3 linked regions of the Cricetulus griseus genome follow. The protein of the gene in region 2 interacts with the protein of the main gene of each other region in a pairwise test. Links are inferred from orthologs where the notes say so. Each region holds a gene or a part of one and is shown on either strand. Other genes may lie near its edges.

The links. The genes of interacting proteins can lie anywhere in the genome.
Region 1: the proteins of Tnfaip3 (region 2) and Ywhab interact in a two-hybrid assay, tested with the Homo sapiens proteins (2 studies listed by BioGRID). The link is inferred for Cricetulus griseus from reciprocal best matches to the Homo sapiens genes TNFAIP3 and YWHAB.
Region 3: the proteins of Tnfaip3 (region 2) and Tax1bp1 interact in binary tests that used the Homo sapiens proteins (3 or more experiments, as listed by UniProt). The link is inferred for Cricetulus griseus from reciprocal best matches to the Homo sapiens genes TNFAIP3 and TAX1BP1.

What each region holds. Positions count from the first base shown.
Region 1 is NC_048599.1:15,522,307-15,526,340, reverse strand, and holds the start of Ywhab (14-3-3 protein beta/alpha), read left to right. Parts: upstream 1-1,234; 5' UTR 1,235-1,368; intron 1,369-4,034. UniProt on the Homo sapiens protein: Adapter protein implicated in the regulation of a large spectrum of both general and specialized signaling pathways. Binds to a large number of partners, usually by recognition of a phosphoserine or phosphothreonine motif.
Region 2 is NC_048595.1:270,723,891-270,727,943, reverse strand, and holds the start of Tnfaip3 (tumor necrosis factor alpha-induced protein 3), read right to left. Parts: upstream 2,801-4,053; 5' UTR 2,564-2,800; coding exon 2,155-2,563; intron 1-2,154. UniProt on the Homo sapiens protein: Ubiquitin-editing enzyme that contains both ubiquitin ligase and deubiquitinase activities.
Region 3 is NC_048601.1:88,623,842-88,627,797, reverse strand, and holds the start of Tax1bp1 (tax1-binding protein 1), read left to right. Parts: upstream 1-1,156; 5' UTR 1,157-1,290; intron 1,291-1,726; exon of another isoform or gene 1,727-1,878; intron 1,879-3,956.

The sequences.
Region 1 (4,034 bases), on a different chromosome or scaffold from region 2:
AATCTCAAACTGTTTATAAATACTGAGAAAGTACATTGGGAGAATAGGGAGCTCCATAAATGAATTGGGGTGCTGACAACCACTAAGGGCAGCTTCTGGGGAGTTCTGATAGTCTTACTCATAGAACTATATGCCTGAGTCTGTAGTTCTGGACACACAGAATGGCAATGAAAAAAGATCACTTGGCATTTGGTGGGGGCAGGGCTCTGAGTCAAGTGGTGAATTATAAATCTATCATTAAGCTACGTAAGGGAGAAATGACAAAGGTCTATTTGTTCTTTCTCCGAAGAACTGTAAGCTTCAAGACAGCAGGGCAACCGTCTGTCTTGTCCCTTGCTGTATTTTCCAGCGTTCAGAAAGCTGCCACACAGAATTTGTGAAAAGTGAAGGAGTGGTGATAGAGGTATTTTGAAGGGCTAGATTTAAGGGTCAACGGGAGTATTAACAATCTCAAGTAACAGTGAAAACCGTCTGGAGAGCCCCGGATTCCTGTCTTTGAGGCTTTCCTATAAATGATACTTGGGGACCAGGGAATCTCAGTGAAGAATGCATATACAGAGGGTGGTTTTGTTTTTTGTTTTTTGTTTTTCTTAAGACCTTGAGAGTGTTCTGTTCCTGACACTTCACGTAGCTTCCTGGGTCTAGGAGAGGAACAGTAAGTACCTTTTAGGCCTGAAATAGGAATTACTGAAAAAGTAGGGCTGAGCCATTTCTGTTCTCCTTTGGTTACAAGCATTCCCTTAGCGCACAGCTAACAGGACTGAGGGCCTCCGATTCCGTGAGGATTATTTTCAGGGTGGGGTGGGAACATATGACCCCCGAACCTGGACCAAGAACGCTCCGAGCTTCCGAACCCTCCCTCCGGGAGCCCGCCCTGTTCTCACACATCCCAGCCTTCGGGCGGTCACCTCAGCTCCGCCCTCTCTCCTTTCTCCTCTTCCTGCTCCCCACCCCACTTCCTTTCCCCGCGTCCGCCCCCACCTCGCTCCCACCCAGGCCCTGCGCCCTCCCACGACCGCTCCCTCTAGGCTCTCCGTGACTTCCCCTCCTCCGGCTATCACCGCCCTTTTCGGGAGGACGGGGCAACCCCGTGCCTCGCTCACCCAATGAGGAGCCGGCTCAGGGTGGGGCGGGACTTGGGCTAGAGCGGAAGTGGTGGCCGGAGCGGAAGTGCAGCTGCCGCCACCGCCGCCGCCGCCGCCGATTCCTGAGCCGGGTAGCCGCTGCCGCCGCCGCCACTGCAGCTCCGGTCGCCGCCACCGCCGCTGCCGCCGCTGCTGCCGCCGTCTGAGGAGTGGGCCTGGGGAAGACGCAGTCGCCGCCCTCCGAGCTTCCCGGAAGCGCCTTTGCTCGCTACAGTCCTCCACGGTGAGTGCGGCGCGGCTCCCAGGGGCCCCAGCGCGGAGCCCCTTCTCGGGCGGCGGCCGCGGCCCGTCTCGCCACCGCCCCTCCCCGCTTCCGGCCGGGCCTGCGCCTCCGCGGGAAGCCCGGGCTTCTCTCTCGGCGGGCCGCACGGGGTGCGGCTGGGGACGGCTGGGCCGCGGGCTCCCCTCGGCACCTCCTCTGCTCGGCGCCGCCCCTGCCTGCTCCCCCCGGGCCCGGAGCCTTCCCTCTGGGCCTGTCAACCTCGCTCCTTTGTGGCTTTCAAAAACTGAAAGGTAGCGGAAGGCGAGCGAGTCCCTGCTGCACTCCCCTGGATGAGCAAGGGTTTAACCTTGGCGACAGCTGGGGCGAATCCCTCTCCCACTCTGCAGTAGAGCTGTTTCATCATCGCCGGTGTGGGAAACCCGGCTGGACCCGAGATTCTCTTGACAGCGGGGTTGAGGTTTGAATCAAGAAATGGATTTGTGGGAATCGTTTTACTGACTCAAACCGGATTCCCAAAGGGGTGGGGGGAGATCAGGCTGAGAATTGAGGCTTCTCATGATATTTGTCGTCATTTACTGCCTTAATCTCGTGTGTCTGCGCCCCAAATTCCTCCAAACACCTTTTTTTTTTTTTTTTGGCTTATTTTGTGTTTTACTGCTTGGAATTTGTCTGTTAGTGGGGAAGGAGTGGGCGGGATGTGGACCCTTTCTTTCCAAGATGAGCGCATCTGGGTCTATTGCAAATGGAGAACCTGCGTGCAGGGCGGATTCCAAAGGTGGCAGCCTTGCTGAGAATTTGCCAGTCTCTCTGTAAAATAAGTCTTGTCCTTGCCTTCAGTACATTCCCTTTGGTGAGACCAGATAGTATTCCACTCTTGCTTTTACTTGTCTGATGTGGGAGGGGCAATCTGTAAGATGTTATGAGTCTGTAATGTCACAGGAGCCAATGCAGAAAGCTGCAACACTAAGGAGAATGTGAAAATTACATTTCTCACCATATCTCAAGTGTTTCTGTGAAACCACACATAACAGTTTATAGGCCTGAACACGAGGTTACTCAGCGTTTTACATTTAGCTGCTGGGAATTTATAGAATATTAACTTGATTTTTTGGTGGATTTCTTCTTGACTGCCTCCATCCAGCGGACCTCATTTCTTAGGGTTGTCCGAGGTTTTTTCTTTTTCTTTTTTATTCATATATTTTTTTTTTTAAAGATCGACGGCCATGGCAGCATACAGATGGAGAATATTGGGTTGTTGTTGTTGTTGTTTTTCTTTCTTTCTTCATCCAAGTTAGAATTTTAAGCATGACCTTAGAAATCGAAGACTGAAAATCCACTACCAACTGCTGAATTATTTTCCTAACCTCTGCCTTCAAACATGATAAGAAACCATTCACCCATCTTACAAATGAAGTCTTCATGAGAAATGAGGTGATTTGGCCTAAACCACACACCTACTTTCAGACTGAATATGCTCTTTCATCTATGGCAAGTATTTATGGACTGCCAGCCCCTGGAGTATGGCTCTTACCCTGTTAATCTTCTGTACGTTTCCCATGATGCAGTGCTTGTGTTACGTTGAAGCCATTTTAGACTTGGAGCTGTATGGATCAGGGAGGCAGCCTGTGTGAAACCAGGCCGAGCATATTCCCTTGGTGCTTGTTCCCTAGGCAAGGGTCTCCAGAGATTTGGGTTGCTGCAAAAAGTGCATTTTTCCCACTTGGCTGTGGATCCAAAAACAGCACTGAAGATGACGTTAGGTAAATTTGATTCAGTTCTTTCTCTGTACTGTTTTCTGGCAGTGATCATCAGAAGTTAATTATCTCTGCTTCTTAGTTTCCCTATCTCCACAGTTATAAACTGTAAGTTGTTAAGTATAAACCTTTGATTTTGTTGTATTTTAATGGTTGAGTTCACATTCTTCTTTCTCCCTTTCTGATAAGACACAGTCTTGTTCTGTCCACTTGCTATTGAAAAATGATATATTATGTAACTGTACATGTAGCAAGTCCAGTTTTTCTCATCTGGACCATACATATGATAACGGTATTCCCTCTTTCCCACCTTTATGCTGTGTAGCCCTGCCTAATCTCAAACTCACTGCTTTAGGCTTCTTCTGACTCTTAGGTGCTGGGATTACAGGTAAGCACCTCTGTGCTGGGCTGGCAACATAACTTTTGATGTGTGGTGGCAGACTGAATCAAAATAAGCTTCTGGACCGGGTGGTCTACAGGAGCTTGTTCCAGGACAGCCTCCAAAGCCACAGAGAAACCCTGTCTCAAAAAACAAAAGCAAAACTAAACAAAAAAGCTTCTGGAATGTAGATTTTCTTAATACAAATAAAATTATTTTAAAAAAATAATTGAATATAAATGAATATATGCCACGGTGTTTAAATATGTAAAATAGTTGTATAAGTTGTGGGATCTTTAAATAGCCTATCTCCTCAGACATGATTTTTTTGGTTTTTCAAGACAGAGTTTCTCTGTATAACAGCCCTGGAACACACTGTAGACCAGGCTGGCCTGGAACTCATAGAGATCTGCCTGCCTCTGCTTCCCGAATGCTGGGATTAAAGATGTGCACCACCACTGCCTGGCCAGACATGATTTCTTTTTGTTGACGAATAAAGTCTTTTCTTCTAGCCCATTGAGAAATACAGACAC
Region 2 (4,053 bases):
GAATTCCCCAGTGCGAAGATATTTGACTAGCAATTGAGCAACAGTTGTTGTACGTTTTGTTCTGGTGTGTAGACATTTAAACTGCGAACTGCACCCTGGACTTTCCAAGTGGGTGTGGTCAGGCTGAGCTGGAACCCGGCTACTCACTATACAAGTGAAATTGCCACAGCCAATAGACGCTGGAATTTTCATGAAGTTTCAATTTTATGCCACCTACTCCCTTCCTCATTCACCACAGTCTCATATCCTCAAATGCAGACTCCTGAATCACCCCCTCCCCAAATAGACCGCCTGTGAAGGAACCTTCCAAAGGGGCCAGGTTTGTAAAAGGAAAGAAAAGATGCTAAGAAAGCCACTTGCCACCACCACCCCACCCCCACCCCCGCCCAAAGGTCTTTTCTTTCTTTTGCATAACTTTAAGAACTTTTCTTCAAAGCAGAAAATTTAGGATTCTGGGACCCCAAATCCACATTTTCCCAACATGTTACCAAAATGCCTTTGCTTTTGTAGTTTTAGCAGTAGCATGAACCCTTTTTGATTTAAATGGCAAAGGAAATGTTTAGCATTTATATTGCTTTTTTTCTCCTCCAGGAAATCAGATATTTCCTCTGTTAAGGAAATACTATATAATGTCTGCTAGTATTCTGAATGGTAAGCAAGATAAGGCTTTTCTTTCTCTATCCCATTTCTAATTCTCTCAACTCCATCTCTCTTTCGGTAACAGAATGGGACATGGTGAAAACCACAAACTGTCAGGTATATAAGCCCCTTGATGACAAGTTAACATAATTATCTACTTCGAGGCATCACTTGACTTAATGCCAAGAACAATGTAGATAATCACTGTCTCCAGTTTTCTTTTGACTCTATTTCTAAGAGTCTAAGCTTCATAAATATAGGGAAGATGTAGAGGTGATATACAAGAGTCCCCGGAATCAAAACAAACAAAAGCCCACATCAACCCATCACCAAGTTACTCAAGTCAAGAACAGCCGAAGTTAATGTACCAATTAAGTTATTAAGTTAACGTTCCTAGCACCATCATTGCCAACAGGGATTTTCTCCTCTTGGATGTATTATTTTGACCCACAGAATGCAGTTACTGATACAAGAAAATGAGATTGTACTCTTACCAACACTGTAAGTATTTAATTGATCTCACACAATCTCCATTCTTATAATAAATGTCTATGCCCTAAAGGCAGAATTTCTGTAACTGCATGAAACAATATCATTGGCTGTTTCTGCACCATGTACATAATCTTTCTCAAAGGATGTGATTTGGAAAAAAAATACAAGACAGTAAAACTTGACATAGAAAAGAGTTATCAGAGGTAAAGGACTTCAGTTGATTGAATGCCAAGAGCAGTGTGTAGAGAAGTTCTGTCTCTCATTATCTTAGGCAACAGAACCTAGGTGAGAGAAGTAGAAACAAAAGCATCCCCTGTCCTTAACACCCACTTGTTTGCAAGTCTAGAAAATGCCATCAACTCAGGAAGAGCAAGAGCATCATAAGCGTTTTTTCTAATGACAGCGGCAAACAACTGTGACACTGGTTCTCAGTGTTCTACTTTCCTTTTGAACTTAAAACCTTTTAAATCCTTTCCATTCTGGCCAGTGAAGGTTATAGATGATTTGGCCAATGTAAGCATTAGGAAGATTAATCTCCCAACTGGGGCAATGGGGTTTAGAAATGCATTCCACAAGTCTTCATGTCCTCTATACTGTAACTCTCTCTCTCTCTCTCTCTCTCTCTCTCTCTCTCTCTCTCTCTTTCTCTCTCTCTCTCTCTCTTTCTCTCTCTCCCTCTCTCTCTCTCTCTCTCCCTCTCTCTCTCAGAAAACACCTTAAAAACACCTTAAATAGAAATATTCACCAACTGGATATAAAGATGCACACTTGCCATTCCAGCACTCGGAAGTTGGAAGCAGAAAGATCACAAGTCCAAAACCAGCCTGAGTTATACAATGAAATCCTGTCCCAGCAGCAGACTCAAATACATTCATGACCATCACCTTTCCCTTATGGAGGGTCTTTCTATAGGTGTCTGCTTAATGGCATTAAAACTTCATGGAGAAGCATTAGCAGAAACACCTCCCCCCCCCCCGCCCCCAGGTCAGTAGAAGGGTGCTGGGAGAAAAGAACAAGCCTTACCATTGGTTTTCAGAGCCACGAGCTTCCGGACTTCTCGACACCAATTGAGCTTCTTCTGGTTTTCCAAGGAAGCCTGGACGCTTCTGTCAATGAGTGCCTTGTGGATGGTCTCCCGAAACTGTGGGCAAAACTGACACATTCTGAACATCTCCAGTGTGTATCGGTGCATGGTTTTAAAATGATGAATGATCCCATTGGTAGGTTTGAAAATATCTTCTGGAGTTCTCTCTCTTATCTTCACAGCTTTCCTCATATTGCTCAAGTACAAAGCCTGAGGAAGGAGTTGTTCAGCCATGGTTCTCCTCAACAAGGCCTGAAGAGGAAGGGGAAAAGCCCGTTCCGTTAGCCTGCCTTGAACATTGTTCCCATGTACCTGTCGGCAAGAAACCCCAGTGTTTGATCTTGTCATTATTCTAATCTGTAGGTAAAAGATCTTAGTCACCTCTACTCCTAGGATACTAGCTGGCCCTGCAGATTAACTCACACTGGACTGTTTTAAGTTACATCACTTTTAAAGATTAGTCTAAACAAGAGAAGGGAGGCGGAGCGTGGGTAATGAGGAGGAGGGGAATAACCCATGCTTTCAGTAGTTTGTCAGGGAGCCAAGTCTGTCTGTCAGTGACAGGTCCTGCTCCACAAAGCCAACCTTAGATCCATTGGATGTCACCCAGGACCTCTGAATGTCAGTACAGTGCTCACCAGAGTCCTAAGTCCACCACCTAAGACCACCACCATTCTGTCCTTGCTCTTGAGCAGAACCTAGATCCAGGTCACTCAAACATCCCCTACTTGATGCTACAAAGGCAGCAAATATTTGATGGAAATCCCATGTGGCATTTAGCTGCTGCCTGGTATTTCCTCTATGGTACTGGCCCCCAAAGAAAAGTAATACATACTTGGTTCAGGAGTTTATGATATTTATAAAGAGTCAACACCAGATTGTTTTATAACTAACAACAAAATAAAGCCTTTTTTGGCAAGATGCTTTGCAATCTTAAGAGCAAATGTCAGCTCTACTTCAGAGCCCTGCCACTGAACTTCATAACATGAGACAAAAAAGCAGAGTAATAATGAGGTACACCACACCTCCCAGAAAAAACAAGACACCAGATTGCCCCGTGATTTCAACTCAACTGACAACAAACTCTTATTGCTGACATGCAGGTACCAATGCCTAAGACACCGCCCCTTCCTCATCCTTCACCTAGAAGACCAAGCACAAGCAACGATGGAGAAAATGAAATATAGAAGCAAATAGGAAAAGCATCTTGGCCAGGCTGCCACTCAGGACAATGATGAGTAGCCACATGACTACTCAAGCCAGTTGTGCAAGGCTGTGTACTGATGCACAGGGACATCCTTCCAGAGTGGAGCAATGCTGAGCCAGTTCTGCTTCACTGTCCCCATGGACCCTTAATAGGGTACTTGGCCACACAACCTGATTTCCTAGACGACAACAATGGCATAGAGCACCTAAAGAGTTTCATGGTGAAGCTTAATTCCATCAGGCATCATGCTATCTGCCAAGGCAAACCCACCAGGTAAAAAACGGTGTGGTGACTATGCAAGAAGAAGAAAGCTAGAGATTAGAGAAGCCACTCCCGTGTGGGTCCAGATTCTCTTATGCCTGATAAAATGGTCTAAATTTTTGTGCCTAGCTTGAAAGAGAGGGTTGTTACTAGGGATTTGCATTAGAATTCTTAATCTAAATGCTAGCTAAGGCCTAGAACTCATTCTCTTGTGTGATGCCAGTTATTTCTTGCAACTGGAATTAGGCAAAAACACTGTAGGGATGAGATAAAACTATAAATATCACATTTACATCTCCTTGGTGATGTAGCAAGGATCTCTTTCATGTTGTCATTACTCCATCCATCCATCCATCCATCCATCCATCCA
Region 3 (3,956 bases), on a different chromosome or scaffold from region 2:
TCGATGCTGCAAATGGGCTCTCCCTCTCTCTCTCCCTCCCTCCCTCCCTCCCTCCCTCCCTCCCTCCCTCCCTCTCTCTCTCTCTCTCTCTCTCTCTCTCTCTCTCTCTCTCTCTCACACACACACACACACACACACAAGTACTAATTACTCCAGGGCATTTTCCCATGGTTGCACTAAAATGCAGGGTGGGAAGCCTCAAAAGACCTCAGTTTCATACTATTATTAACATTGTGGTTTTAACCCATTTCCTTTGTGGGTTTTGCTAGAGCAGCATAGGAAGAAATAGAAGACTTGGTTAATCATGATGTGGAAGCGAAAATAATTTAAATTTAAATTTCTAAATTTACTTTGACCTACATAGATTACCTTTCTCTGTTAAATGTTCAGTTTCAATTGGAACCCCACATAAGCAAGTGTATTCTATCCGGATTCATAATGTTCCTGTGTGGGAATATTATTTACCTTACCTCATGAATACAGTACCCACAGCATTCATAAATACTTCTTTAAAACCCACAATGCTGAACCCAAAGTACTGCTCTCTCCCTTTGGAATACTTTTGCTAAATAACTTTTGCTTCAACTGCCTATGTCTCAACAGATTGTTTCCTTTTGGAGGACAAGCATGGAGAGGCCCCTGTAAAATTCCTGCCGTCAGTGATTTCAATACATAAGAAACAAATGAGTCAGCAAATATTAAGGCCCTTTCTCATGGAGGCCAAGTGGACTTGAATTATGTGGAAAATGAACATGAAGGCAGATTTTATGTGTTGTTGCTGTAATGTTTAATCTGTTACCTCTTCTTCGCTGGTGATGCTGTAAGTGTCATCAGTTTTATGGCAACACAGGAACGTGATGGTTGAGCCCCTGGTCTCTCCAATAGTTCTTGGGGGTTCTCTAGACATTTAAACAGATGTATTGACACAAACTGATATTTAAGACCCAGGTCGCCTCTGGGCGATCCTTCCCACCTCGCCGGCAAGTTAATTAACTTGTCTTAAGCGGCCTGTGTTTTGGGGTAACTACTACATCACTGAGCGAAAGCCCCAGAAGACAAGCAAGCTGTCAGGAGGAAATCCACCAAGAACTCCCCTCCGCCCCCCCCGCAGCGGGCGAATAGGGCGTGTCGTCACGGAGCATGCGCAGAGACGGTGGCGGAAACGGGCGTTCCTAGGGCGGAAGTGACGCGACGCCGGCTTGGGGCTCAGAGGCGGAGTTGCCGGTCCGTGGTGGCGGAGCTCCGGGGCTCCGGAGCGCGGCGGAGCGCGGCGGGCGGAGGCCCTGACGGGTGAGGCCTGCGTCTGGGCCGCGTGCCTGGCGGGGGGCCCGGCGCTCGCGCCCCGTCTCGGCCCTGGAACCTGGGCCTGGCGCGTGTTGGTACCGTCTCCGTGGTGACGGAGCGCTCCTTCCCAAGGACAGGTTTCCCCGGGCCGCGATTGTGACGTGTGCGTGGGCCCGAGTGGCCAGGAGACGGGGAGGCGCGGCGGAGGCGGGCGAGCTAGGCCGCGGCGAACCGGGGTCTGCCGGGCAGGAGGCCGGTGGGGAGCGCCCAGGGTGGCCGACGCCAGGCCGCGGCGAGCCGGGGAGGACCCAGCCGGAGCCTGGACGCACTGTTTTGGTTTGAGTGGCTTCTGGAGGAAGAGGCGGGGACGCCCTGCTCCGCCTCGTTCTGTGTTTACGCGTTTTGGCCTGATCTCTGGCTTCACCTGGGCGAAGAGATTAATTAAGTCTTGGGGTTTGGAAAGCCGCCCTCCCCACAGATAAGGCTTTACGAAATCTTGGGCAGGGTGACTTCGCTCTTAGGCTGTCTGGACTGCTTTCACGGCTCCGCCTCCCTCTCCCGACCCCTGGGCGACGCTGCCCTGTGTTTGGACAGGTACGAAGGTGGTGCCGGGCAGGTCTGTGCTGTTAGGACTTAGCTGGCGTGGACGCCTGTATTTCTCTACTGAGAAATACGAAGGACAGTTTGTTCCTCAAGAGTTTTGTTGGAAAACGCGGTGGCATTTGACTGCGATACATTTCCGGCTCTAGAGCTGCAAGTTAGTAGTGTGTTAGAAACTTAGGTGGAAAAGTTTTCATCGCTGCTTCCCGCCAGCGGTGAAATTTCGTGATCAGTACAGGAACAGATACTAATTAATCTTTTAGGGTTCAACCCAAGAACATTTGAAAAAGATTATTTGAATAACATTTGTTAAAGTGGGCTGGTTGTGGGCTTAGGAGCTTTAAGGTGCTCTCCAGGTGTGGAGACGAGGCTGAGGCCAAGCGCTGGCCTCCATTCTGATCTCTGTGTCCTTCCCGAATGTTAGGGTTACAGGCAAACAGCACCACCTTGGACTTATAAGTTATATGATTTCTACAAGAATATATTTGACTATGCTGGAAATGACTTGTTAACTACTACCCCCACCCTGCCCATCCTCTGTTAAATTTCAAACAAAGTCGTTTTCAAATTGTTACATTAGTTGCATACTGTTTGCTTTTACGATTGTAGCCATGTATGTGAAATTTAACCAGTGAATGCATTTTCTAGGACAAAATAACATCCTTGCATTATTAGTTGCAATTTTTAAAGAGTGCTGTTTAAAAATAATTATTTAGGCTTATTTTATGAGTGTTTTGCCTGCATCTGTATATGTGCATCATGTGTATGCCTGGTGGCCACAAGTCAGAAGAGGGTGTCAGATCCCCCTGGACTAGAGTGATGGATGGTTGTGAACTACCATGTAGGTGCTGGGCACCGAACCAGGGTCCTCTGCAAGAGCAAAAAGTGCTCTTTACTGAGCCATCTCTCCAGCCCCTAGGATGCTAAGTTTTTATGCTTGATCCTATCTATACATTTTTATTTATATACATTTGCACTATACAGGTAAGGAATTATCTGTAAAGTTTATTTTGACTTATATATTGCCAAGGTCTCACTGTGTAGTCCTCGCTGTCCAGGAACTCTTCATGTAGACCAGGCTGGCCTTGAACTCAGATCAGCCTGCCTCTACTGGCCTTCTGAGTGTTGGTATTGAAGGTGTTTGCCATCAAGCCCAGCCTCACCTGTAAGGTTTATTAGATTGTTTTCTTTTGGAATGTCTGTTAGTATCTAAAATTTGGGCTTTATGTACTTATGACTCTAAAGTTTACACTTTTCAATGAGCCTTCAAAATTACAAATTTCCTGTTCTATATACCTGTGGGCCAAGAGCATAGTATTTTAGAAACGAATTTATGAAAAGTTAAATCAGGCCTGATGTTTTATCACCTGGGATTCTAGCGCTTGGGAGGCTTAGTTGGATGTGTGTGTGAGTGTGTGTGTGTGTGTGTGTGTGTGTGTGTGTGTATGTGTGTATGTGTGTATGTGTATGTGTATGTGTGTGGGCGGGGTGTCATATGCTTGAGGCCAGCCTGGACTATAGTACATAGAGCCTTTCTCAACAGAGAAAACAAGTACAACTGGGTGGCAGCTGGGCAGAATGTAGGAATACTCAGCTGTGAAAGCACTGGAGATAAAGATGTCTTCAGCAATGCAAATTAACAAGGTCTTTGTTTCAGCCTCCTAGAAAGTTGACTGATAACATCTTTCTGAGAGTATGGTATTCTACAAACTAGGCAAAGGAGCTGAAGAATGAGTAAGGGAACTACCAGGCTATTTTTATCCCCATGAAGATGTATGTATGTATGTATGTATGTATGTATGTATGTATGTATGTTATTTTTGAGACAGGGTCTTGCTATGTATGTAGCCTTGGCTGTCTGGAAGTTAACTATGTAGGCCAGGCCTCCTAAAACTCAGATCTGCCTGCCTCTATTTCCCAAGTGCTGGAAATAGGTCCTATTTTTGTAACTGAAGATTTTTAAAAACATTGGCTGTCAACCATTATCTTAATTATGGTACTTTGCAAGGGTACAAAGTGTTCATGCAGTGTTTTCTGTTGAAGACACACAGACACGGGGCTTTTTATTGCCA